Linked DNA regions of Ovis aries. The protein of the gene in region 3 purifies or fractionates together with the protein of the main gene of each other region. This does not show direct contact. Links are inferred from orthologs where the notes say so. Each region holds a gene or a part of one and is shown on either strand. Other genes may lie near its edges. The genes, in order: ATRIP, PRPF19, RPA2, CDK7, HLTF, ZUP1 and PARP1.

What was found.
Region 1: the proteins of RPA2 (region 3) and ATRIP purify together in Homo sapiens (affinity purification with western blotting; 5 studies listed by BioGRID, with this or other methods). This does not show direct contact. The link is inferred for Ovis aries from reciprocal best matches to the Homo sapiens genes RPA2 and ATRIP.
Region 2: the proteins of RPA2 (region 3) and PRPF19 purify together in Homo sapiens (affinity purification with western blotting; 4 studies listed by BioGRID, with this or other methods). This does not show direct contact. The link is inferred for Ovis aries from reciprocal best matches to the Homo sapiens genes RPA2 and PRPF19.
Region 4: the proteins of RPA2 (region 3) and CDK7 purify together in Homo sapiens (affinity purification with mass spectrometry; 3 studies listed by BioGRID and IntAct, with this or other methods). This does not show direct contact. The link is inferred for Ovis aries from reciprocal best matches to the Homo sapiens genes RPA2 and CDK7.
Region 5: the proteins of RPA2 (region 3) and HLTF purify together in Homo sapiens (affinity purification with mass spectrometry, with the first as the bait; 3 studies listed by BioGRID). This does not show direct contact. The link is inferred for Ovis aries from reciprocal best matches to the Homo sapiens genes RPA2 and HLTF.
Region 6: the proteins of RPA2 (region 3) and ZUP1 purify together in Homo sapiens (affinity purification with western blotting; 3 studies listed by BioGRID, with this or other methods). This does not show direct contact. The link is inferred for Ovis aries from reciprocal best matches to the Homo sapiens genes RPA2 and ZUP1.
Region 7: the proteins of RPA2 (region 3) and PARP1 purify together in Homo sapiens (affinity purification with mass spectrometry; 3 studies listed by BioGRID and IntAct, counting the BioPlex papers as one, with this or other methods). This does not show direct contact. The link is inferred for Ovis aries from reciprocal best matches to the Homo sapiens genes RPA2 and PARP1.

Annotation. Positions count from the first base shown.
Region 1 is NC_056072.1:51,443,797-51,447,986, reverse strand, and holds the start of ATRIP (ATR-interacting protein), read left to right. Parts: upstream 1-1,390; 5' UTR 1,391-1,489; coding exon 1,490-1,730; intron 1,731-4,006; coding exon 4,007-4,137; intron 4,138-4,190. UniProt on the Homo sapiens protein: Required for checkpoint signaling after DNA damage. Required for ATR expression, possibly by stabilizing the protein.
Region 2 is NC_056074.1:34,605,910-34,610,003, forward strand, and holds the start of PRPF19 (pre-mRNA-processing factor 19), read right to left. Parts: upstream 2,801-4,094; 5' UTR 2,581-2,800; coding exon 2,562-2,580; intron 902-2,561; coding exon 752-901; intron 556-751; coding exon 479-555; intron 1-478. UniProt on the Homo sapiens protein: Ubiquitin-protein ligase which is a core component of several complexes mainly involved pre-mRNA splicing and DNA repair. Required for pre-mRNA splicing as component of the spliceosome.
Region 3 is NC_056055.1:239,185,104-239,188,603, forward strand, and holds part of RPA2 (replication protein A 32 kDa subunit), read left to right. Parts: intron 1-2,175; coding exon 2,176-2,277; intron 2,278-2,397; coding exon 2,398-2,511; intron 2,512-3,500. UniProt on the Homo sapiens protein: As part of the heterotrimeric replication protein A complex (RPA/RP-A), binds and stabilizes single-stranded DNA intermediates that form during DNA replication or upon DNA stress.
Region 4 is NC_056069.1:10,557,760-10,561,259, reverse strand, and holds part of CDK7 (cyclin-dependent kinase 7), read left to right. Parts: intron 1-1,786; coding exon 1,787-1,897; intron 1,898-3,089; coding exon 3,090-3,208; intron 3,209-3,500. UniProt on the Homo sapiens protein: Serine/threonine kinase involved in cell cycle control and in RNA polymerase II-mediated RNA transcription. Cyclin-dependent kinases (CDKs) are activated by the binding to a cyclin and mediate the progression through the cell cycle.
Region 5 is NC_056054.1:239,824,516-239,828,015, forward strand, and holds part of HLTF (helicase-like transcription factor), read left to right. Parts: intron 1-543; coding exon 544-710; intron 711-3,500. UniProt on the Homo sapiens protein: Has both helicase and E3 ubiquitin ligase activities. Possesses intrinsic ATP-dependent nucleosome-remodeling activity; This activity may be required for transcriptional activation or repression of specific target promoters.
Region 6 is NC_056061.1:21,159,939-21,163,438, reverse strand, and holds part of ZUP1 (zinc finger-containing ubiquitin peptidase 1), read right to left. Parts: intron 2,615-3,500; coding exon 2,493-2,614; intron 647-2,492; coding exon 478-646; intron 1-477. UniProt on the Homo sapiens protein: Deubiquitinase with endodeubiquitinase activity that specifically interacts with and cleaves 'Lys-63'-linked long polyubiquitin chains. Shows only weak activity against 'Lys-11' and 'Lys-48'-linked chains.
Region 7 is NC_056065.1:28,669,106-28,672,605, forward strand, and holds part of PARP1 (poly [ADP-ribose] polymerase 1), read right to left. Parts: intron 916-3,500; coding exon 787-915; intron 1-786. UniProt on the Homo sapiens protein: Poly-ADP-ribosyltransferase that mediates poly-ADP-ribosylation of proteins and plays a key role in DNA repair.

The DNA.
Region 1 (4,190 bases), on a different chromosome or scaffold from region 3:
CAGCTGGCACCCTTCCCTGTGCTGCTGAGAATAACCCTTCAGAGAGCCAGAGCTAGCATACTGCCCCTGAGATGAAGCTACTGCTGTTTTATTTGATGGAACCCAGTCTGCACTTACGAAGTATAATCTTGTGTTTTTACGAGACCAGAAACTTGGAGCAATTAAGATAAGCATCCAATATTTGTGTGACTATCTGAGGGAACCTACCAGTTACCTCAAAAAATTAAAGCCAGGTACTGAAGACCCTCTAGGGCCTAACAACTATCTCCCTTTCATTCACTGCCCTCCCAAATATTCATAGGATACTCATAGGCTAAGTTAGAATTCCACGGGCAGAAGAGCCTAATGAGCTACAGTCCATGGGACTGCAAAGAGACACAATTGAGCGACACATGAATGAAAAGTCTTGCCCATTACTTTCCAACACCTTGTTCCTGCTAAATGTCCTGCACACCACCGTGCCGTGCTTAGTCACCCAGTTGTGTCTGGCATTTTGTAACCCATGGACTGCAGCCTGTCAGCTACTCAAGCCCAGCTTGAATCCCTGCTCCTCTCTAAAACCTTACCTTCCTAATTTGCCATTGATAACGCCTACCTGGCACTTGTGTGGCCTCCATTTCAGTGTTGTATTCTTGTCTGAGTAATCTTGATGCCATCCTCTTTAATACCTCTTGATAACTCCACTTAACCTGTAGGACAGCACAGTTGCTACTTCCATAGGACCTTCCTTGACTTCTTGAGTCTCATTCATTTCCATATTACCAGCACTTGGAACAAAGACACTTAAGAGCTCCCAGAGAAATGAATAAATATTAACAGCCTAAGGACTTCCTACACCCTTCAACACAAACACACCCTTCTCAGACTTTCACCAAATGTACACATTCAAAACATTTACTGTACTCGAAGATGAGTGCTCATAACAGCTCTATTCCTAACTCCTAGCCCAACCCCATTCTTCCACACTCCTCCTCAAAAGAGCCTGGGGTATTTGAGAAGTGGGTCTGGCTGGACAGCGAGGTCACAAAAACCAAAAGTCTGAATGCCATAGATTCACATTGCACGGCTGAATATCTATCTGGGCGACCTCCAGCAAGCGCTGCTCTGTACCCCAGGGCATGTCAGGGAGCGGAGACACAGCTACTTGCGTGGTGGAGCTGGTGAATTTGCCTAGGTAACTCAGTTCGCTGCGCTTACACCACCGCAGTGGCCTACCGAATCCTAACAATCGGTACCAGAGCGCCAGGCGAGGTTGGGCCCAACAAGGGCGGGAAGCAACAGGGTTCAGCGGGCACTCAATGGAGCATCGCGGCGCGCTCTGATGATGTCATTCCTCCGCGCCCGCCAACTGGCAGGTGATTGGCTCGTTGGTTCGGGGGCGTGTCCCGGCGGCTGAGGCGAGCCACGGCGCGCGGGCGGTTGGTCCATCCCTCCTTCCACGCGGGTATAGGCCGGGCTCAGTGTCTTTAGAGATCAGCCGGAGGCAGGCATGGCTGGAATCTCCGCTTCAGGCAGCAGGAGGCGAAGTGGGCCCCCGGCACCTAGTCCTGGCCCTCCGCCCAGCACCGGGCACCCTCCGAGCAAGCGGGCCCGAGGCATCCCCGCCGCCCCGGACCCCGAAGACCCATTCGGCCTGCATGGGGATTTCACCGCCGACGACCTGGAGGAACTCGACACGCTTGCGTCCCAGGCCCTGAGCCAGTGCCCGACCACGGCTCGGGACGTGTCCAGTGAGTTCGCCTTTTCCCCTTGAGAGTGGTGCAGACTTCCCTAGCCCCCCCCCCCCCCCAGATGGCTGTGCCTTCGCAACCCCGCAGTGACCGTTCCGGTGTCTTGCACCCACACTGCCCCTTCCTAGGAACAGTTTGATTTAAGCAGCTGTGTGTCCCAAGAGGTCTTTTGATTTGAGGGGAGAAATGTATCAGGAATGTCAAACAGCCGATTTGGAATGTAGGAAGCTAGGTTAACATTTTACTTGGGTTTCTATACTTTGGACCACTGGGTTCTTAGTTCTCAGCAGAGATCTTTGCAACACATCTATCACAGCCATAAGAAGCATCTTTACCTACACATGGGGACCCATGGTTATGACATATTTGGGAGGCTTTGGATCGAATGAAGACCACCTTTTCCTTTGGACCGCCTGAGCACAAGAGGGATCTGGCAGAGGCAAGAGATAGGATAGACTTATTCTTTTTATACAACCAATTAATTGTACTACGTCCCCAAACCTTAGAAGCTACAGACACTTAGCAACAAACAAAAGCCCCCACCTTCTTGGAGCTTACACTCATTCTAGTGACGTCTTATGGGGTTCCCTGGAAGAGAAAGGTTTTGAGGGTACCTTGAATCTCTACTTGGATGTCTTGTAGGCAAGTTAAATTCCACACAGTCATTTCCTGGAAATCCAGTCATCTGCCAGCATCTCCAGCATGATGCCTGGCAAAGCAGACATTCAGAAAAGACATGTTGATGAACACATGTTCTGCATGGTGAAGACTGGCACCAGTTTCCATCCCATACCACAAGCCAACATCCCCATTGCCCCTTTCCAAATCCTGTACCTTTACCTTTTTCTTCCATCCCAAGAATCCATCCTCTGCATCATCTCTGCCATCTCCCTGATCTGTGTTACCATCACCCCTCCCCTGGACAAAAGTCCACTAAATTGTGTACATATTTCAGGTTATGACTCCTACAAGTCAGACTTCACACCACAGCCAGAGTGATCATTTTAAAACTAAAATCTCTGTGACACAGAGATGCACAGTGAACATCCCTACTGAAAGCCTTGAATGACTTCACACTTCCGGTATAAAGATTAAAATCATTAACATGGCCCGGAAGACCCAGCGTGGCCTGACCCTTTCCCTCTTGGGTTTCTAGCCACACTGACCTTCCTTCATTCCTTGAATTCTCCCTGCTTCCCTACAATACAGAAACTGCACACGCTGTGTCTTTTTTTTTTTTTTTTTGCTGCACTGCATGTGGGATTTAGTTCCCAAGGATCAAACCCACCCTCCCTGCAGTGCAAGTGTGAAGTTTTAACCACTGGACCACCAGGGAAGTCCCTATTGCTGTTTCTTACACGTTGAGTGTTCTTTCCATCCATTCCCCATCGCCACTGCTCTGGTTAATTCCTGCTTGTTCTTCAGCTCTCCATTCAGTTATCACTTATCTAGGGAAGGCTTCTGGAGAAGGCAGTGGCACCCCACTCCAGTATTCTTTTGCTTGGAAAACCCCATGGACAGAGGAGCCTGGTGGGCTGCAGTCCATGGGCTTGCTAAGAGTCGGACACGACTGAGCGACTTCACTTTCACTTTTCACTTTCATGCATTGGAGAAGGAAATGGCAACCCACTCCAGTGTTCTTGCCTGGAGAATTCCAGGGACAGGGGAGCCTGGTGGGCTACCATCTATGGGGTCGCACAGAGTCGAACATGACTGAAGCGACTTAGCAGCCGGGAAGGCTTCCAGTCGTCCTTGTGGATGAAATCCCCTGTTACAGGCATTGCTCTGTTTGTTCTTCTCTGCAGCTATTATAACAGTCGTAATTTTACGTTTATTCTTATATTTTTGATTGCCATGTAAGCTCCATGAGTGTAAGGACTGTATCCATTTCTCTCATCACTGTAGCTTTCTTTAGAGGCTAAATTGTGCCTGACATATTGTAGATGCTAAGTAAATACTGTTGAATAATGGATCACTGAGCTTCGAACAGTGAGGTTCCCACAGCACCTTTCAGCCCTTAGCTGAGACCCTTAAAACTGGATGCAGGGAAAAAAACAAGAAACTGAGTGTGGAATGGGGAGAGGGTGGCAGAATTTGTTATTTCATAAGGATTGAATCATGTTCTTATGTTGGAAAATACCTATTCTCCTTACTAGATCTTTCTCTCATTTGCTTTCAAAAGTGATTGTTTTCAGCACTGGCTGTTAAAAGTGGGAAAATACTGAGCCTTAACAAGTATATGGGAACTGATTTTTCTTGATTGTTGTTTTTTACAGATGTTCATAAGTTCACCAGATTAGATGGGATGTCAAAATATCCTGCAGGAAAAAACAGAGAAAGTGTTCCAGTTAAAGATAATTTTGAATTAGAGGTACTTCAGGCACAATACAAAGAACTTAAAGAAAAGGTAAGGGATTTAACTTGTCATTTTTGTAGTTAATGCATTCACTTATGCATGTG
Region 2 (4,094 bases), on a different chromosome or scaffold from region 3:
CACCTCACCAGAAAGGAATAAAAACACTACAGCTGCTGTTTATTGACTGCTCTCATTGCGTCAGGCACTGAGCCAGGCAGTCCTCAAGATGCAGTCTTTGACTCATTCATATTTAGAGCACCTGCTGTGAACCTGGTTCTCACTGCTGGGGCTCTAATGAGTAAAACAAGTCCCTGACACCATGAAGCTCATACTCTAATTTTACTCTGAGTCTCTGTAAACCCTGAGACAGGTACTAATCCATGCAATATGGTCAGGAAAAGTAGCACTTGGATACTTGCCAAGGGACGTGGCAAGTGGGCAACGGAGCAAAGGGTGGAGCCCAGATCTGTGTGACATTAAGAACCAGGCTTCTCTGCTCTCACCCTCCCCTCAAAACAGAAAATAAGGCTCCATCCCTCCCATCCCCACCCATGTCCTAGTCCAGTGATCCCTTCTTTTCAAGTCGCGAAAATATAAATTCTCTTCGGGGACTCACCCACTCATCCTGCAAGGCTTTCAGAATGGCTGGGATGCTGGTGGCTGAGGGAGGCTTGGGCCGGATTGGGTGAGCAACTGCCAAGAGAGACAAAGTGGGTGTGAAAACCCATGACCTAGGGCATGCTGGCCCTCCCACATTCTTTCTTTCCCCTTCAGCACTAACAGACCACCGTTTCCTCCCCTGGCTCCCACATGCTATGCACCCGCCACCCTTCCCACCTTCCCAGGCTTTAGGCTAGGACAGCCTGGACTGGGGCTGGCCAGCAGGCACCTTTGATATCAATGAGCTGCTCCTCGGACAGAGGCTGGTTGTTGATGGGATCTGTGCCATTCTCTGCAATATACTTCTCAATGAGCCGCCGCTCATACACATGATTAGAGACGGGGGACACACAGGGGTGTTCTGGCACTTCATTGGAGACTGCGGAGAAAAGGCAGGTGGTGAGCCTGGGGTGGTGACAGGGACCCTGGGCCAAGGGGACGCTTCACCTTCGGCTGGCCTCCACAAGACCTTGCTCCCTACACTCAGCTAACAGGAATCAAGACATGACACCAAGCCAGTTTTGGACTGTACCCACAATGCTTTCCAGCCACTTAACTAGCTTCTCCATCAGTCTCTGACAGTTAGGTAGTCAACAAATAATTGCTGCACAACTACTAAATGCTAGGCACCTAGGGAGCAGTCAATAATTCCTGCCCATCTCATTTCTGAACAAAAACGCTTAGGCACCCATTATATAGCAGGACAAGAAGATACACACAAAGCCATTCAAGTCTCAGACTAGGACCTAGATGGATTCTCGGACACATTACAAACCGATGTGACAAGTGCTATGATAACAAAGTATTTACATGGTGTTTACTAGGCGCCAAGCTCCACTGTAAACACTTTCCATTGATGAAATCATCCTCACCACTCCCCAACAGAAGTATCCATTTACATCCCTGAGGATTGGGACTGTAGCTGCTCTCTGACTTCCAGTACAATGCAGGTGCTTGGCAAATGCTCAGGAAACATCTAACAGACCAGCTGATGGATACTGAAAAGACCTTCCTCAGGACTGAAACAATGAATGTGAAAATACTCTGCACACTGTCATTTCTTTAACGCTTAAGGACTCTTTTTCTAGTCACATTTCCCTTCACTCTTTCTCTCCTTTATTTTGGATTTATGGGGAGGTTCTGAGAAGAGTCAAGAGCTCGAGAGTTAGGAAGCCGAGAGAGAAAAGAATGAGAAACTAATAACCTGATGAACAACCACTCTCCTCAATAACATATCCAAAAGACAGGACAAAGCATTTGAAAAAAGCATGGATTCAGGATCAGAGAAACTGGCTTCGTCACACAGCTCTGCCACTAACTAGCTGTACTGTTTTACAAAAGCCACATTTCTCCTTGAACCTTACATCCTTATCTGTAAAACCGGATCTTTATTTCTGCTTTGGAGAATTGCTGTGGGGACAGAACGACTCTGCAGTTTTGCAAGCACGCTGTAAACCAACAGAGGCTTTTCCAAATGTGCAGCTGTTTTCATCAGCCCTACAGGGTGAGGCTGGTCTGGCTCCCAGGCCTGTCACCGCCTCCAACTCACTGTGCGATCTTCGCAAACTGCAGAAGCGCTGCCTACCCAAGCGGGGCCTCAGACAACACATCCAGTGCCAAGGCCATTATTTTTGCAGTTGGGGAAACTGAGGACCGCATCCCGGAGCCAGATCACAAAGCCAGCTGGAGGCGGATCCTGCACAAGCCCTCTGGCTTCCTGCTTCCTACAGAGAGCTCTTTCCCCTGCACCACCAGCTCCCCGCTATCCAAGCCTCATATCCACTGCGCAAACGAGATGGGCTGCCTCTGTGCAGCCTGCGAGAATGCACCGGAGACGTTATGTAAACTATGAAGCGCTGCGCAAACTGACCTCACGCTGGAGGAGGAAGACCCCCCCGGGCTGACAGGCCGCCGCCCTGCCTCCCCGGAGCCCCGTTTTTCAGGTCCAGCCCCGACCCCGGCGCCGCAGAGGCGCGCAGATCCTCACGCTCAGCTCTCCGGCCTCCAGCGCCCCGCGAGCGGCCGCAGCCGATACTCACTAGAGCAGATCAGAGACATGGCGCCCTCGCTGCACTCCGAGGCTCCTCACACTGGACTCCGGGATCAGCTACTGGGCCCCCGCGGGACACTTCCAGTTCCCTCGCTGCTTCCAGACGCTCCGCTGCGAGCGGGGAGCTGCCCCGCGGAGCGATGCTTGCGAATGGCTTCACGTGGGACTGTGGCCAGTCGCGCGCCTCAGCCTCCAGAATTTAACGGAAACTGTCCTTTCCCATAATGCAATCAGGCAGGAAAGGGCGCGCCAGGAAATACTCGGCTATTTCCGGGCCCTCTCGGCTAGTTTCGTAAAGCTCCAATGGCTGGGAGAGGAGATTCGAAACTACATTTCCCTTAATGCACTGGGACCTTAAAGCCAATCAATTTAGCTGCACTCTTGAGCCAGGGGCGGTGGAACGACTGTCTTGCAAATATTGGAGTATATGAGAATTTTTTTTTATTTTTAATGCTATTAGTCTTTTATTTCGTGAGCATGGTATACTTTGATTTACTTGAAGTGAAGTGAAGTCGCTCAGTCGTGTCCGACTCTTTGCAACCCCATGGACTGTAGTCTATCAGGCTCCTCAGTCCACCCAATTTTCCATGCAAGAGTACTGGAGTGGGTTGCCATTTCCTTCTCCAGGGTATCTTCCCAACCGAGGGATCGAACCCGGGGCTCCCTGTCTGCAGGCAGACACTTTACCGTCTGAGCCACCAGGGAAGCGGTCTTCTGTAATATTTTTTCAGTATAGTTTTATATTATTGTCCATAGTGGTTTTGCATATTTTATGTCTATTTTTGAGTACTCCATAATTTTTTATTCTATTTTCAAATTTTTAATTTATTTTTAATTGGAGGATAATTGTTTTACAATGTTATGTTAGTTTCTGTAAGAATTTCTTAAGGAACTTTTAAAAATGCATTTTTCTGGGGTCTCATTTAGAGAGTCTGCATTTTCAGTTCGTGCCCCATGTGTTTCTCTGGCAAGTGTTTCTCAGAGGATTAGCTTTGGAAGACCCAGTGAAGACGAAGATACACATGGGTAGAGAAGCTAACACTGGCTAAGAAACTCTTCTGGTCTTGCCCCTACTACCAATTTGCTCTGTGATTTTGGGCAAGTCATCTGCTTCTTGGACACACTGGCCTTTCAAGCCCTCAAACTTATCCACTCTGGTTCCAGATCCTTCACCTGGAACACTTTCCTCAATCCCTGCCCTTCTCCCCACCCCTCCCATCCTTTCCAAAGTAAATCCAATCTCACCCTAAATAGCACTTCCTCTGGAGTCTCTTTTCTTGACCCCTGACTGAATTTTAGTCCCCACAGCACCCTGTAATTTTCCTCTGAGTCCCTCTGGGATAGCTATAATAATTTATTTCGAAGAACTTATTATTTATTTTTGGTTGCGCTGGGTCTTCACTGATGTGAGAGGGCTTTCTCTAGTTGCAGTAAGCAGGGGTTACTCTTTGTTATGGTGTGTGGACTCTCATTACAGTGGCTTCCCTAGTTGCAGAGCGCAGACTTAGTTGCCCCTTGGCAG
Region 3 (3,500 bases):
TTTGAGGTGAATTTGAAGGTATTACTGCTGCCCACTTAGAGAATGTTGCTGCTGCTGCTGCTAAATCTCTTCAGTCGTGTCTGACTCAGTGCGACCCCATAGACGGCAGCCCACCAGGCTCCCCCGTCCTTGGGATTCTCCAGGCAAGAACACGAGTGGGTTGCCATTTCCTTCTCCAGTGCATGAAAGTAAAAAGTGAAAGTGCAGTTGCTCGGTTGTGTCTGACCCTCAGCGACCCCAGGGACTGCAGCCTTCCAGGCTCCTCCGTCCATGGGATTTTCCAGGCAAGAGTACTGGAGTGGGGTGCCATTGCCTTCTCCGGAAGGTATTACTAACACCTCAGTAATTACACATATATAATGTTTTTACCTGAGGAATAATAATTTTTATTGAATACATAGGACGATATATAGAGATTGATATTAGCAGTTTTATATAGAGTATACGTTTTGTTTACAGCTCCACAGGTTGATATCCTCATTTTACAGAATGGGTGGCAGTGTGTCCAGGGCTGTGGAGTGGGGGTTTGAACACAGGTTTATAGGACTGTCTGGCTCCAAAGCCATGTTCTTGCTGCTCTTACCATAGTGGCTCTTAGTTTTCTTCTGCTGAAGATACGGTGAAAATCTCAAGTGTGATAGGTGAAAATAGAACCTCAACAGATTTTAAATGTATAAATATTAATATAGCATATAAGTTCGTTTACCAATACCATAAAATTGGAAAACATAGTTGGTTCCTTTACATCCTTATTAAAAGCTACTGTAGATAGAAAGAGTGAGGAACAATAATAACTGGCCTAATAATTGCTGATATTTCTTGAGTGTTTATAGTGTGCCAGATAGTCTAGGTACTTCACCATATATTTACTTCCCATTTGATTTTTAGTGATTTTATCATTCCTTGTTTTGTAGATGAGGAAACAGAGGTAAACAGATGAGTAGAGAAATGTGATCAAGGGCACGCTACTCCTGAGTGGTGGAGCTATAATCTTTACCCTCAAGCTTGGCTGCCACCTGTGTGACATATGTGCTGGTAGTTGGCTGGGCTTACTTTCTACTATCCTGGCAGTATTCACCATTCAAAATTATGCTTCAGTAAAGTGAAATATTGCTAGTATCATGGACCTTCAGAGATAAGCTTTGACTTTTAAATCAGTTTTACATATAGAACAGTTACTGGGTTTACATCTTATTGATTTCCAACAGGAAGAACCCTCATCTTTAATGCACCATGCTTTTTCTGTCTTGTACATAGTCCTTCCTAAGAGTCTATGAAAGTGCATATTTGCTCTCAGTCTATAATGCATGTTCCTTACCCACTGTTTTTTCACCATCAAAATTTTTGTGCTTCAAGGTCCACCCTAAATGCTCCCTCTTGTTGAAATTTCCAGTAAATTTTTCTGAGATTCCACATAGAGTTTCTCATTCTGTAGTGTACAAAAATCAAGATTGTTGCTTACATTTGTACCTCCCCTAAGTTAGGAGTATGTTGAGGGCAAATCCTATTCCATTGTACTCATCTTTGTCCTCTGACCAGAGGTAGGCAAAATAAGAATTTACACTGTTGTTAGGTTGCTTTTGGATGTGAGTTGGGTGTCTGTCCTCTTCTGCCCATTGCCTCTTGTCCCTTTCCTTTAGGATGTCCAGTGTGACCAAGCCTTTATCCCATTTCCCCCATACTCGTGTTTGATTGTCAGAACATCTATCCTAAAGCTATATGTCTAAATTTCTGTTGTCATTTATCATGAGACTTAGAACAACTCCAGAGTTCTCTCTCTGCTGACCATTTCTCAGACCCCTTCCAATACCCATCTCATCAGTGATGAAAATCCAGCTCCATCTTGCCTTCATCCTAAAGGTGGAGTTTCTTCTTAAAAGTCTGTTCCAGAAGCAGGTCCTTATGCTGTCCACAATCTGGCCTACTCATTTTGGTGATCTCTAGTGCAGCACAGACTTATCCATTCTTCAGGAACTTTGGAGTCAGACAAACCTGGGTTTGAAATCTAAAGTATGGCATTTGTTAACTATATAATCTTGGTTTTCACCTGTATGAAGTAGAGATAGGATCATATTGAAGATTCAGTGTTACATGTATAGTGCTTGGCACATAGCAGGTGCTAAATGAACAGTGGTTAATTATTTTCTTGATTGAATTTATGAATACTTTTTTCAGAGAGCTCGAGCTCAGCACATTGTACCCTGTACCATATCACAGCTGCTTTCTGCTACTCTGGTTGATGAAGTATTCAGAATTGGAAACGTTGAGATTTCACAGGTATGGAAGAGTGCAAGAGTCACTTAACATGAAGAATGAAATAAAACTAACATCATTTAAAAATATATAAATGTTACTTTGGTTTTCAAGAAAACTAAACTTTTTTCCCTTCTGGTCTAGGTCACTATTGTGGGGATTATCAGAAATGCAGAGAAGGCTGCAACCAACATTGTTTACAAGATAGATGACATGACAGCTGCACCCATGGATGTTCGCCAGTGGGTTGACACAGATGTAAGTAGTTGTTTTGGAATCAGGGTGGGGTTACTTGGGGACTTTGGAGATGTCGAACTTGTTTAGTTTTACTTTTTAAAGGTGGGTCTTATAAAAATAAAACATAAGCAAGACGTCAAACACAGAAACTCTAACATGAAAGGCCAGTACATTTATTTTCATAAAAATTTAAAATCTTTGAAACTTCCCCAAATACTATAAACAAAGTTAAAGGGCAAGTAACAGGACACACTAGAATGTACTTTGTGAGTACAAAGATTTTTTATGTTGGCATTGTATCCCCAGCACCTAGAATAATGCCAGTTACATAGTGGGCCCTGAGTAAATATTATTCAAATGAGTGGGGAAATTTTTTGTAACATATTACAAACATTTTGAATTTTTAATTAATGAAAGTTCTTACAAAGGAAAAAACAACTGCACCTTAGGAAAACAAGAAATGCACAAGTAATTCATAATAGGTGAAATACAAATTGCAACAACAATAAGAAAAGCAGGTTTACTAAATACCATTTTTAACTTACTAAATCAACAACAACAAAAAAGAATGGCAACGTCTACTTCTATTGAGAGCAGGAGGCACTTAATTTGGGGAATGGTTTGTCAGTGTTTGTCTGGGAAAGCGGATACCATCCTACCTTGATGTTATGAGTATAATCTTTCTCAAAAATCAGCCGATAATCAAGATCCCATCACAGAAATGTTGATCTAGCAGTCCACTGCTGGAAATTTACATTAAGGAGATCAAGATGTGTGCAAAGATTCAGTTGTAAAATTGTCGATCATCACATTATTTATCATAATGGAAAACTAAAAGGAATCCCCATGTTAGCAATAGGATATTATTCATTAAACCATGGTATATTTTTAAAATACTGCAAATGATGTAGAAATACATGTATTGTCACAAAGAAGTGTTTACCATAAATGTTGAGAGAAAAGAGGTTATTAAAGATAGTATGCGTGATGTGGCCCCATTTTTGCAAAGC
Region 4 (3,500 bases), on a different chromosome or scaffold from region 3:
TTTTGTTGAAATCTAGATGTGATGTTAAAGATCTTCTGAATCATTTAGCCATATTCCCAGTGTTACATACAAGATTTGGATTTAGATAGCATTTGTGTCTGCCAAGTTCCCGATACCTTATTAACATTACTTTTTAGAAAAATAAGTGTTTGGCTTTGGAGGGTTTGGAACTTCCCTTGTGATATTATCACAGACTGTCCTTTTGAAAACCAGCTTTCTTTTTGAGAAGAATAAGATTTTAGGGACTTCCCTGGCAGTCCAGTGGTTAAAACTTCACCTTCTAATGCAAGGGGTGTATGTTCGATCCCTGGCCAGGGAGCTAAGATCCCACATGCCTTGCAACCAAAAAACCAAAACATAAAACAGAAACAGTATTGTAACATATTCAATGAAGCCTTTACAAATGATGCACATCAAAAAAATCTTTAAAAAAAAAGAATAAGATTTTAGGCTTTTCATTAATACTAATTGAATCTCAATAATGGACAGTCTGGAGATGTGGAACAAGTGGAATTCTTATACACTGCTGATGAGAATGCAAAGATACAGCCACTTTAGAAAAAACAGTTTGGCAGTTTCTCACACAGTTAAATATACCCTTAGGGTATGATCTAGAAATCCGTCGGTGTATTTATTTATCCAAGAGAAACAAAAACATGTCCACACAGATGTTTAGCTTTCTTCGTAATTATCCAAACTGAAAACAACCCAAATGTCTTTCATCAAGTGAATGTATAAACTGGTACATTTTTTATAAAGTGGAATACTATTTGAGAATAAGAAGAAACAAACTATTAATATATACAGTAGTATAGGTGACTCTTAAATACGTTGTACTAAAGGAAAGAAGCCAGGCTCAAAAGCTACTGATGCTGTATGATTCTATGTATGGTTTTTTTTGGAAAAGGAAAAACTAAAGGAACAGAAATCAGATCTTTGGTTGCTGGGGTTAGGAATTGAAGGGAAGATTGAGTAGAGAGAGGCATTGGGGAATTTAGGGGGAACTGTTAAACTATTTTTGGTTGTGGTAACACAACTGATGTGTTAAAAACTGAGATTAAAAGTGTCTTTCACCTATTTGAAAAAAAGAAAGTTGCATTTTTAGCTCATATAACTAAAAGTCTGGGAATAAACTGACTTGAATCATAGTTCACAAATAATGCTAGCAGAACACAATTTTTCACTTGTTCTCTGTTGCCTCGTTCATGGGTAAAATTTCTCAATATAGTGGCTCAGGTGCTTGTAGGCTTCTATCCTTAGTTTAATAATGCCTGAGGAGAGAAAGTATTCTGTTGCCTTTGATTCTAGCTCAAGTATTTGGCTTGGCTTGGCTCACATTTCCATCCCTGAGCTAGTCTTGAAGGCAGGCTGTAGTGTGGTGACGGAGCATGCCTGGATCACATGTCTGCTACCTTTGGAGGCCACAGGTTGTGCACAACGTATAACCACGTGGACTAAGCTGGGAACACGTGGTTTCCGAAAGGAATGTTGAATGCTGTTATCAGGAGGGGCTGTATATCCTGAGGCAAGTGGAAACGGCAGATGTTTGCTACATGGATGCCTAAAAACATAGCGGTAGGGGACAGAGTACTGCTTTCCTCTTAAACTCGAGAGACTTTGCCTGACCATGTAACTGGGGGTTCTGACAGAGCCTCCTGAGGAGAGCTAGGCAACCTCTCTTGAGAACCTCCGTTACGAATAAACCCAGCTTGTGTCTATAAATGATATGATAGAGTTTATGTGGAATGATAAAAGCGTACCTGTATCCTGTCTGCCTACCTTACAGGTTATAATAAAGGATAACAGTCTTGTGCTGACACCTTCACACATCAAAGCCTATATGTTGATGACTCTTCAAGGATTAGAATATTTACATCAACATTGGATTCTGCATAGGGTAAGGTTTTTAACCAAGTATGATTGCGTCTTTATGTTGTAGTCAGACTTTCTGTAGCCAGCTTATTACACAAAAGGCCTGAGTATGTAAATTATTAAAGTAGAACTGGACTGTTTTATCCACCCTTCTTCCTCTCTGCGCTCCCTTCAGTTAAACCAGGTGGCACTGTGAGAACTCTGTGTTACTAGGTGGAATTTAGAAATGCAACAGGCCTATTCCTTCATTTTTTTCATACTTAGAAGAGTTAAGTTGCTGACCTAAAAGTTACATATTTTTTTTGAGGTCAGTAGCTATAGTGACTGACAAAGAGTATTAGAACCTAGATATTTTGGCTTGAAGTTACGTGTTCTTTGTGCTATACTGTTATAATAAAAAACAACAAGGAGTCTGGATTAAATTATGCAATGCAAAAATACTTCTGGAAAAATACTTCGGGTAGCTCTGAAACTCTGGGAAGTAATCAAGTAAAATTTCTGAAATGGCTGAGTCATTGTTAGGAACATTCAGCTACTAGAACAAGGCTGATGATTTAGGTAGGTGGATGTTCCTAGGTATCCTATTTATTAGTAAAGTAGCTAAAAATATGTAATAGTAATCCTCATACTTAAGCTTGGAATTCCTTTTAGGTTATGGCTAATATCTTTTTAGCATTGATTGTGAAGACTATATTCTTCATCCTTTATAAACACATAATGTTTTTTACTTACTAAAGTTCATATATTGTGGTGTTTATTGTTTTGGGCCTCACGGCTTGTGGGATCTTAGTTCCCCAACCAGGGATTGAACTGGGGCCCTCAACAGTGACAGGGTCCTGACCACTGAACCACCAGGGAGTTCCCTGTATATATTGTTATTGAATTAATAGCAGCAGCTGTTTTTTTTAATGCTTACTAGGAACCAGTCATTACTCTAGGCTTTTCACAGGAAATATTAAATTTAATCCTCACAGCGAACCTGTGAAGTATGTAAATTGAAATTCATTGAAAGGAAGTACCTTAACCCAAGGCCTCACTAAGAAATATGGCTAATCTTATTTTGATTTTTAGGATTTTACATCAATGAAAAAAATTTTGGTGGTGGTTAAATTTGGAGTCTTACCCTGTTTCTGCTAAGTTTAAATTTAACTAAATGTATTACTATGATGCTCTCCTTCACCCCGCTTATTTGTTGGTTTAAAATCTCCATTGTATAGGACCTAAAACCAAACAACTTGTTGCTAGATGAAAATGGAGTTCTAAAACTGGCTGATTTTGGTCTGGCCAAATCATTTGGGAGCCCCAGTAGAGCTTATACACATCAGGTTGTAACCAGGTAAGGATTCCTTAACTAACTAAAGCTTGTATTGTGTAGGATATTAATCACAAATGAGCCTCATGTGGCTTCTTTGAATTTTGGCTGAGTTCAGGAGTTATTGTTGGTATCTTATTAAACAGTGAAAAACTATACAGCCCTTCTTTTATATGGAGTTGAATTAAATCAGTCCGCAGAGATTTATCTAGTAATTTGGGGGGACTAATTTATACTTCTTACACAGTTTAGTTAGGTAGGTTGGAACTATAGTGGCTGTTCTTTTCCGTAACCACCTGATTTGTGGAGCCTGTGT
Region 5 (3,500 bases), on a different chromosome or scaffold from region 3:
TCAGATTCTGGAGAACTTAGGCTTAGGAACCAGCCTGCCTGGATTCAAATTCTAAGCTCTGCTACTTATTAACTTTATGACCTTGGACAAGTTACTTAACTTTCCTGTGCTTTAGTGTCTTCATCTGCAAAATGGAGATAATGATAAGACCTACCAGTAGGGTTGTGACAGTTTTGAAAGTCAGTCTGTATAAGGTACTTAGAACAATGTTTGGTATGTAATAAGCATTCAGGAGATTATCTGTTTTTGAAGTTATGTTGGGAATTTTATATAATGTGTATCTGTTAGTTTTGATTATACCTTTTATATATCAAGGATTTTTTTAACTTTCCAATTAATGTAAATTAGGAAAATACTGCAAAAGAATTATTTTAAAATATATTCTGTAATATTTCTGTAGAAATATGAGTCTAAGAAAATGTACATTTCTTATGTGTGGTGTTATTCAGCAAGCATTAAAAAAATGAATGGAAATCCCAGATAAAGTACAGTGAAATCTATCATATATTTATTATTTATAACATATCTGTTTATTTTTATTAGGTTAATAATAATGAAATGGTTGCATTACAACGAGAGCCGAATAACCCCTATGATAAGAATGCAATTAAAGTAAACAATGTGAATGGAAATCAGGTTGGTCATATAAAGAAAGATCTTGCAGCTGCCTTGGCCTATATCATGGACAACAAATTGGCACAAATTGAAGGGTAATGCACTTCTGGAGTTTAGTTTCAATAATTGTGAATTGTGGTGATCTTGAATTTAAGGATATGTATAGTTGCTCTGACAACTTCTGTGACTATACCTTTAGTATATGTTCAGTAAATGTTTTAATTTTATCATCTGCCTGCACTACCCTAACCATCAGATAGCTATTCCCTCACTTTCCTGGTAAATTATTACCATGGAGAAAAAGAGACTTTGGTTCAAATATTAAAAAGTCCATACAATCTTTTAGGAAAAAAAGCCTTTTTGTTGTTGTTCAGTCACTCAGTCATGTCTGACTCTTTGCGACCCCATGGACTGCAGCACGCCAGCCTTCCCTGTCCTTTACCACCTCCCAGTGCTTGCTCAAACTCATGTCCATTGAGTCGGTGATGCCATCCAACCATCTCATCCTCTGTTGTTCCCTTTTCCTCCTGGCTTCTATCTTTCCCAGCATCGGGATCTTTTCCAATGAGTGGGCTCTTCGCATCAGTTGGCCAAAGTATTGGAGCTTCAGCTTTGGCATGAGTTCATCCAGTGTGAATATTCAGGGTTGATTTTCTTTACGATTGACTGGTTTGATCTTCTTGCTCTCCAAGGGACTCTATAGTATCTTCTCCAACACCACAGTGCAAAAGCATCAGTTCTTCAGCACTCAGCCTTCTTTTTGGTCCAACTTTCACATCTATATGTGACTATTGGAAAAACCCATAGCTTTAACTAGATGGACCTTTGTCCACCATGATTTTAGTTTTTTGAATGTTGAGTTTTAAGCTAGCTTTTTCACTCTCTTTCACTTTCATCAAGAGGCTCTTTTGTTTCTCTTTGCTTTCTGCCATAAGGATGGTATCATCTGCATGTGTAAGGTTATTCATAGTTCTCCTAGCAGTCTTGATTCCAGCTTGTGCTTCATCCAGCCTGGCATTTTGCATGATGTACTCTGCATATAAGTTAAATAAGCAGGGTGACAATATACAGCCTTGACGTACTCCTTTCCCAGTTTGGAACCAGTCGGTGGTTTCATGTCCGATTCTGAGTGTTGGTTCTTGACCTTGTGTACATATTTCTTAGGAGGCAGGTAAGGTGGTCTGGTATTCCCATCTCTTAAAGAATTTTCCAGTTTGTTGTGATCCACACAGGCTTTAGCATAGTCAATGAAGCAAATGTTTTTCTAGAATTCTCTTGCTTTTTCTATGATCCAGTGGATGTTGGCAATTTGATCTCTGGTTCCTCTGCCTTTTCTAAATCGAGCTTGTACATCCAGAAGTTTTCGGTTCACGTACTATTGAAGCTTAGCTTGGAGCATTTTGAGCATGACCTTGCTAGTGTGTGAAATGAGTTTAATTGTGCAGTAGTTTGAACATTATTTGGCATTGCCTATTTTTGGGATTGGAATGAAAACTGACCTTTTCCAGTCCTGTGGCCACTGCTGAGTTTTCCAAATTTGCTGGCATATTGAGTGCAGCACTTTCACAGCATCATCTTTTAGTCTTTGAAATAGCTCAGCTGGAATTCTATCATTTCTACTGGCTTGGTTCGTAGTGATGCTTCCTAAGGCCCACCTGACTGGCCACAATGTCTTGCTCTAGGTGAGTGATCGCACCATCGTGGTTGTCTGGGTTTATCTTCTTTGTTATCTTTGGTGGTTATCTTCTTTGTATAGTTCTTTTGTGTATTCTTGCCACCTCTTCTTAATATCTTCTGCTTCTGTTAGGTCCATACCAATTCTGTTCTTTATTGTGCCCATCTTTGCATGAAATGTTCCCTTGGTATCTCTAATTTTTTTGAGGAGAAAAAAAGGCCTTTTAGTGTATTGATTTTAGAAGTTTGGGAATGTTTGTTTAAATCTGGTTGTAAGCTGATAGTCTGTGATCAGTTCCAGATGAGTTTGATTTTGCCTGCAGTGTTTAAATTTTTTCGGTTATTTCCAGTATTAAAATATGTGGATGTTCTGCATTTTATGCATATTATTTTTTCCCTAATTATAAAACATTATTTACAAAGTTTTCTCTTGATAAATGGAAGATCTGGTAATACAGGATACTGATTTCCACTTGACATCATTTGACTGGAGCTAGGTAGCAGCTGTTGCATTAATTAGGCATATCCCTTCTTAGTTTTACCACCTGTTCCTTTTTTAAAACTCAGTCTCCTTGGTTGTGTTTTGTATGCGTTTATGTTTGTGATCTAAATTTTAGTGTAGATTGTTTAGAATATTTAAAGGTGAGTTTGGAAGATAAATACTTAGCAGTGTCTTCTCACTTATTTACTTGTTTTCTCCTTTTTCAGTTCATTTCCTTTCTCAGGCTTTTCAGATGTTGAGAGTAAACTTTCAATAAATCCTGAATCAGAAATAATTCTTTGAAATCATTCCCCATTTTCTCAGATTGGGTTGCTACACTCAGTGGTTCTGTTAGTGAAAGCTCTACCTTCTCAAGTAAACTTACTATTTTACTTATCTTACAACCTTGGTAATAGGTTATCTTATGTATTTAAACACTTCTATCTCAGTTTCTTCTGGCATTCTGATCCTAAAAACTGCCCTTACCTTCTCATTATTGGTCCTCCTCCATGTTCTTTTTCTTGCTAGTCTGCCCAGTTAGATACTTTTTGTTGTTGTTCAGTTGCTCATTCATGTCCGACTCTTTGCAACCCCATGGACTGTAGTACTCTAGGCTTCTCGGTCCTCCACAATCTCTTTCTGTTTTACTTCCAAGTAAAATTTGCACGTGACAGATATTTAACATGATTCTTAATGGGACTTAAAATTAAATGTAAAAAATAACTCTATT
Region 6 (3,500 bases), on a different chromosome or scaffold from region 3:
AATACACACTGCATTTTAAAGACTGTACAAAGATTGCAAAATACTGCACTGATAATTTTTAATACTGATTACACACTGAAATATATTTTGGATATACTGGAAAAATATTAAAATTAATTTTACCTAGTCTTTATTTTTCTAATGTGACTATTGGAAATTTAAAATTATTTATGTGGCTCACTTACATTCTACTAGACAGCAATTGTCTGGAAAATAGTAAGCTTTCAATAAAAACTATTCTCAAAGGTCTGTTTTCAAATGTCAAGTAAATTGATACAAGATAAAAGTGAATCATTTACTATAAAAATAAAAGGTCAGGAGTTTTAAAACAACACACAAAAAAATTATTTGAACACCTGGTCTCACCTAAAACTATATAAACTGTGGGTTGTGAAAATCAAGCACAATTCAAATAATCCTATTACTTCAGTGATGTATGCAATATTAAAACCATGATTTGGATGTTTAAATACTCACCAGATGTTTTTGTTTTTCCATCATCAACACCAATAGCTAGTGATTCCATCATATCAGCTTTTCTTCTATGAAATTCAGATGGATGCATTCTTCCCCTATTTACTTCTATCTCCATATTTCGTAGCTGCTGTTGTTTGTACCCTCCAGAATTATCTAAACCATATTGTCTCTATTGAACATAAAAACAAATGACTTAATTTTTATGTCCCTTTATATCAATGAGGTGAAAAATTTACCACTATTTTATACATCTGGAAATATATTTTGAAACATTCTGGTTTATAGACTTCTATATGAGTCAACTTACAGATTTTTATGAAAAATAATCACGCACACAAAAAAATCCTTGAGTTAATTAATAACAGCCTTTCTCTATAAACAACCATCATGGCAAGAGACTTGTTTTCCTTGAAGTAGGGAAAGTAGAGAATCCAATCTTCCTGTTAATAGTAATGTGAAAAGCAGATGAGTTCTGACCATATTGCTGATTTTTTTCAAGACAACCTGTCAAGGAACCTGTACTTGTTACCTGGTTCCTAGGCTAGCCTAGAAAGGCCTATTTAATCAACAATTCACTCAGGTATTTATTCTATGCAGTAAATGAACTATGTTTTTGCACACTGACAGAAAACCTAAAATAATATGTTAAAACAGCCCCTACAAAAATATTTCTGAGATCTAAACAACTAACCTGCAAAGTTACATAATCAACTTATACTCTCCTAAACATTGAAAACTGTTGTATTGATAATATAAGGTAGAGAAGATATAGGAAAAGTCAACTTTTTTCTCCTCTGAATCTTGGTGGGAAAATAATTATGCAAATAGATGAACCATGGATGAGAAAAATAGCCTAAATTAGATATTCTAAAGAAAGAATAGCCATGTGCAAGAAATCAGAGGGAAAAAAGTTAGAGGTCAAACAAGTTCAGGAAGATTATGATATGTACAATGCATATTAGTATATTAAAGGCTTTAAGAAGACATCAGGTACACAAACCTGTTTAATTGAACATTTTCAAACCATTCATAAACCCTTTTTATTCAGACATTATCCTATAAGCACATAGAAAAAGAACATTTAAAATCTATGAGCATTATTAGCAAATGACTACGTAGTCCACAGCAAGTTAGGACTGAAAAGAGTCGTAAAAGCTGTTAAAATATAAAAGCTACCAGTTTAGTTCAGTAGATACTACCATTCACCTAAGATAGGCTCAAACTTCATAAAAAAGCATTTGCCATTAAAAGTGGTTCTTTCTAAATTCTTGAACTTCAGTCACTAAAAGAATTTAAGACTCAGAAGACATTAATTCTAAGTTTCTATTTTAAGTATTTTTGCAAACATTTAAAATTCTGAGTCTCAATTTCTTAGTTTTCTCCAGTAACATAGGTTTAAAAGTAGGCTTCACCATTTCATACTGCCCAATCCTGAACAAGTTAAGCTACATAAAGCACTCTTTGTTTCCATTTCTTCCTCTGCTGTTCAAAAAAAAAAAACATCTAAAATAACTTCATGGAGTATGGAAGACTGTAAGATACTTTACATCAGGGTCCCCAACTCCAGGGCCACAGACGGGTACCAGTTCATGACCTGTTAGGAACCAGGCCGCACAGCCGGAGATAAACAGTAGGTGAGTGAGCAAAGTTTCATCTGTTTTTACAGCCGCTCCCCATCACTTGCATTACTGTCTGAAACTTTTGTCAGACCAGCAGCAGCATAATAAACATAATGCACTTGAATCAACCTGAAACCATTCTCCCTGCCACTCCAGGTCCATGAAAAAACTGTCTTGGTCCCTGGTGCCAAAAATGTTGGGGACTGCCACTTTATAAGAAGTGTTTGCTCCAGTATGTAAATGAATGGTGGTTGTTATGAACTATAAAAAATACACGTAAAAAATATTTTGTATTATAATAAAGACAAAAATAATAAACTAAAGTTTTAACAGCATGTTTGAAAAATAAGAACTCTAACTGAACCAAAATAATATAATTATTATTAATCGTTGTACCTGCAGCTTCTGAAATTCTTCCATTTCTTGTCTTGATTCTTGAGATCTCCTCTTTCTGTCTTCTTCTTGTTGAAGCTGTTGAGCCAACTCTAGATCTCTAGAACACTGGACTCTATTCACACCTATCATATATTTTTAATATTTAGAATAAAAGATTGAAATCAAGGCTCAATTATATGTTAGTACATATTTTTTAAATGGAGTAAAGGCTATTATTTTGCCGTTTATTCATGACTATGATGTCACAGAAATACTGAGTATAAATCCAGCAGAACTTGAACTGCCTCTGTAAGGGTACAACCTTCACTTAAATCACTAATATTCACTGAGTGTTTAGGCTGTGACAAACACGTCTCATTAATTCTCATTAAATATCTCATTTGTATCTTCATAACAGTTAGGAAATATTATTACCTGTTGAAGAAACCGGAACTTGAGAGAAATTAAGTAGCACCCTGAAGTGGTGCCCCTCATTAATACATATAAGGCAGATTAGTTTTTAAGAGAAATACTTGGTGGGGAGGAGGGGAGGATGGAAATAATTAAGAGAATAAAAAAACAAGTGAGCAAAGTACAGATATTAGATCATAACCTAATGTCTGACCTCAAGCAAATAGTATAACTTGCCCATTTTGCTCTCTATCCAGTGTCCTACACATCTATTATTCAGTGCCCTCTGGCTAGCATCTCCTAGACCTCTCAATTTGATGGTTTAATTATGTATCTGAATATTCTTTCTTTCCCTTCAAATCGCTCAGCCTCTGATACCTCTTCCTAATTGGTCCCCACTTTTACTGGCGGAAATACACAATCCAAAACTGATTTTTAGCATACTTATGAGGCTATCTACAGTGATTCACTCAGATTCACCTCAGACTCCAGCCTATGGAGTACACATAGCCTATGTGTAAGCCTATGGAGGTTACAGAAAATAACTCATGTACCCATACAAAGCTTGGGTCTCCCTGGTGGCTCAGTGGTAAAGAATCTGCCTGAGACCCGGTTTAG
Region 7 (3,500 bases), on a different chromosome or scaffold from region 3:
CCTAGCTATCTTCACACCTGTTAGGGGTTGTCTAAGACATGACCCAGCACTGTAACAACAGCAGAGCCCGAGCCGTCCTGCCAGGCTGGGCTTAAGACAGGGAGATGCAGGGCTGAGGAAGAGTAGCTGCTAGTGGTCTCTACAACCCAGATTTGTCTTGCCTTCTCTAAGGCTGGCTGGAAGAAGCAGAGAGGAAGCAAGCTGGTGAAGAGGAGGAATGGTCAAGGCTAATCTGCAACTCTTGCACTCTGCTGGTCCCTGCTTCTTTTTCAAAGCGGCTCCAAGCTTCAAGGCAGCAAGAACATGCATCTCCCAGGGGACACAGAGCACCTGACCCTGGCTGGTGGTCCCTGCCACTTTTTCTTGTATAGAAATATGACTGATTCACTCATCACTCCCCTCCCCCAGCCCACCCCTATGATTGGCTGGTATGCATTTTATGGGATGAAGCAAGTGTCAGCTCACTGCTGGTCCTAACAGTTCTTTCACTGTAAATGGGCTCCATCTTGGACTTCCATGACAACTCTGAGCGGCCTATTTGGTTGAGCCACAAAAGAACCACGCTCCACATGCCTTTATGGCAACTTCAAGGGAAAAAGTGCAATGGGGACAACATACCATCTATTTCACAACAGGCCAATGATTCTCTGTGAAAGTGTAGGTACCCCAGGCCTCAGCGCTCCTGTATGCCTCAGGCTGAAGACCAGCCACTGAACTCGTTGCCAACTCAGCACTCCAATCACCCACCCCAGCAAATGCTCACGAACGTAACAAAAGTGCAATAACCTCATACTCCACCATGGCTTTCTTCATACTTTCTACATCGAAGATCATCTTAATGAGGTTCTGCACTGGCTTGGGGAGCTTGGACTTGGTGCCAGGGTTTACTGTCAACTTCTTCACTGCCTCTTCATCCTGTAGGGAAAATCAGGAAGAGACTCAATTAAACAACCCAAGCAAAGTTGTGGTAGTGTCATCTGGCAGAGAAAGGATATAGGATGGCGTGCCAATGGCAAAAAAGGCTTAAAAAAAAAAAAAAAAGGCAGCATGTAAAAGGTTTGGCATTAGATGTCAGGAGAAACATGTTGAGTACGGACAGGATGAGACTGCCTGTGCACCCCAGATCCTCTTGGCTGCTCCCGATTCTTATTCCAGACACCGCCGAAGCATCAAGTTCTGCACAGGCAGACCTGCAGGCACCCACACTCCCTCCCATGCTGGGGTTGCTGGTGCCCAGTGCCCATTCATGCCCAACATGGAAGTGCTGGCACCTACAAGGGCAAACCTTGGACCCAAGGCACACTGGACTGATGGACAAATTCTGCCTCCTTTCTTCTCTTACACTGCCTCACCCAAGACTGAATTCACACAGCCTTCTCTATAGTGCCAAAGGATCAAGCAACCAGTCCCACTTCCTGCCAGGCAGCTTGACAGCGTTAAAGCACATATGAGCACCATCCCTACCCCTCACCCCTGCTCCCTGGGATTGCTCTTCCTAATATTCTAACAACACAGGACTTTAACTCCTGCCAGCTGGGGATCCCAGGCTGAGCGAAGACCCTGCCTGAATGAGGGGAACTGGTGCTGGGCTTTGCTCCTGGAATCTGCTTGGCTTAATGAAGCTGCAGAGAAGAACCCGTGTGCTAGTCTCAGGGCTACTGCTGTCAGTGGCACAGCAGATCTACTCTCAATGCTGAAACACACGTCTTTACACGCATTCTTATCTTCTAGTTTACTGGAAGGCAAACTACTACTACGTTAAAAAGCCTTATTTATATGCATATACTGTAACCAGGAACTCTAAGGATAGATAGTAAGCAAAAAGGCATATAGATATGTACATCAGCATCATTATAGCAAATACCTAGAAATAATCTAAATATCTAACTGGGGGATGGGAGAGTGTTGTTTGGTAAATTACAAACTACAGCCACCCAAAGACCTGGGTTTTGATCCTTGTGTCGGGAAGATCCCCTGGAGGAGGGCATGGCAACCCACTCCAGTATTCTTGCCCGGAGAATCCCACGGACAGAGGAGCCTGGTGGGGTCCATGGGGTCACAAAGTGTAGGACATGACTCAGCAACTAACACTATTACTACTACCAGAGGATGGAATTCTATACAGATTTAAGAAATGATGCTCTAGTTCAGTACCATTTAACAGAGTAGCCCCTGGTTCTGACATGTGGTCATTCTGAATTGAGATATGTTTTAAGAGGTAGAAAAACATCAGCTATCAAAGACTGAGTTAAAAAAAAAAAGGAAAGATATTTTGATATCAACATATCAAAATGATAATATTTTGGACATACTGGGTTAAATAGTATTAATTTCACTGTTCTTACTTCATAAAATGTAGCCACTAGAATATTTAAAATTGCATAAGTGGCTGCATCTCTCTGTTGGACAGCACCGCTCTAGAGGACACGGGGAAATACTCCTAGAACATTAAGGCAAAACGTGGGTGGTTGGTGACACAGTGGGTAAGGAAAGACTCCAGGGCTGTGATGGCAAAAAGCACCTGTCAACTGAAAAGAAGAATATACAGACGTATATCTTAAGCTTAACTTTTTTGTACCTTTGTACAACTCAGGTGCTAGCTACCCTTCCTTGCAGTTGAAAATGTGCATACAATTTACATGGTTTCTCTCTATCCTCAGCACATCCATGGATTTAACCAACCACGGATCGTATGGAACTGCAGGATTTACAATGAAAAAATTCCACATGTAAGGGGACCCATGTAATTCAAACTTGTGTTGTTCAACTGTACATCTTTTTGAAATGCAAAAAATAAACTCAGTAGGGAGCACTGCTGAGTTAGACCAAGCATGTCTAACACTCAAGTCCAAGTTCTCTACCCCAACATTACACAAGAGTTAATTTCTGTTTTTAATGGTAAAGTTCATGACACTCTATAAACTAGAGAACTTACAGTTTATAAATTCTTCAAATCCCCCTTTGAGACATGTTAGACCTCAAAGATTTGAGTTAAAACCTGTACCACTGTAATAAATCTCTTTCCCTCTGCATAATAAATGTGTATCACCCCTCATTATAAAAGCAACAGGTTTTCATATAGAAACAACGTAAGAATTTTGTCAAAACAAATGGCCTCAACAGGATCAGTGAAGAGACACTGGAAGGTTGCCTGGTAATATAAAGGGAGACGATTAAGCTACAAATAAAAATAATGGGAAATTATCAGGAAATAATTTAGGACTAAAAACTATGACCCAGTGTAGTCACTATAATTCTATCTTGATGATAAAGCGAGTCACGTGACCTTCAGATAAGCAACCTCTATGAACTCCTCCTCCCTGAGTTTAGGGAGCAACTTCAAAGACTGCTCCTTTGTGACAGTCTTTGAAAATGCTCACACTGTTCTTACAAGCTTCACCTCACACTTCATGGAATAGATTTATTCATGAAAGGGCATGGATTTTATTTAATGCTTTTTCTGTGTTCCTTAGGATAACTGTGTGGCTTCTATCCTTTAT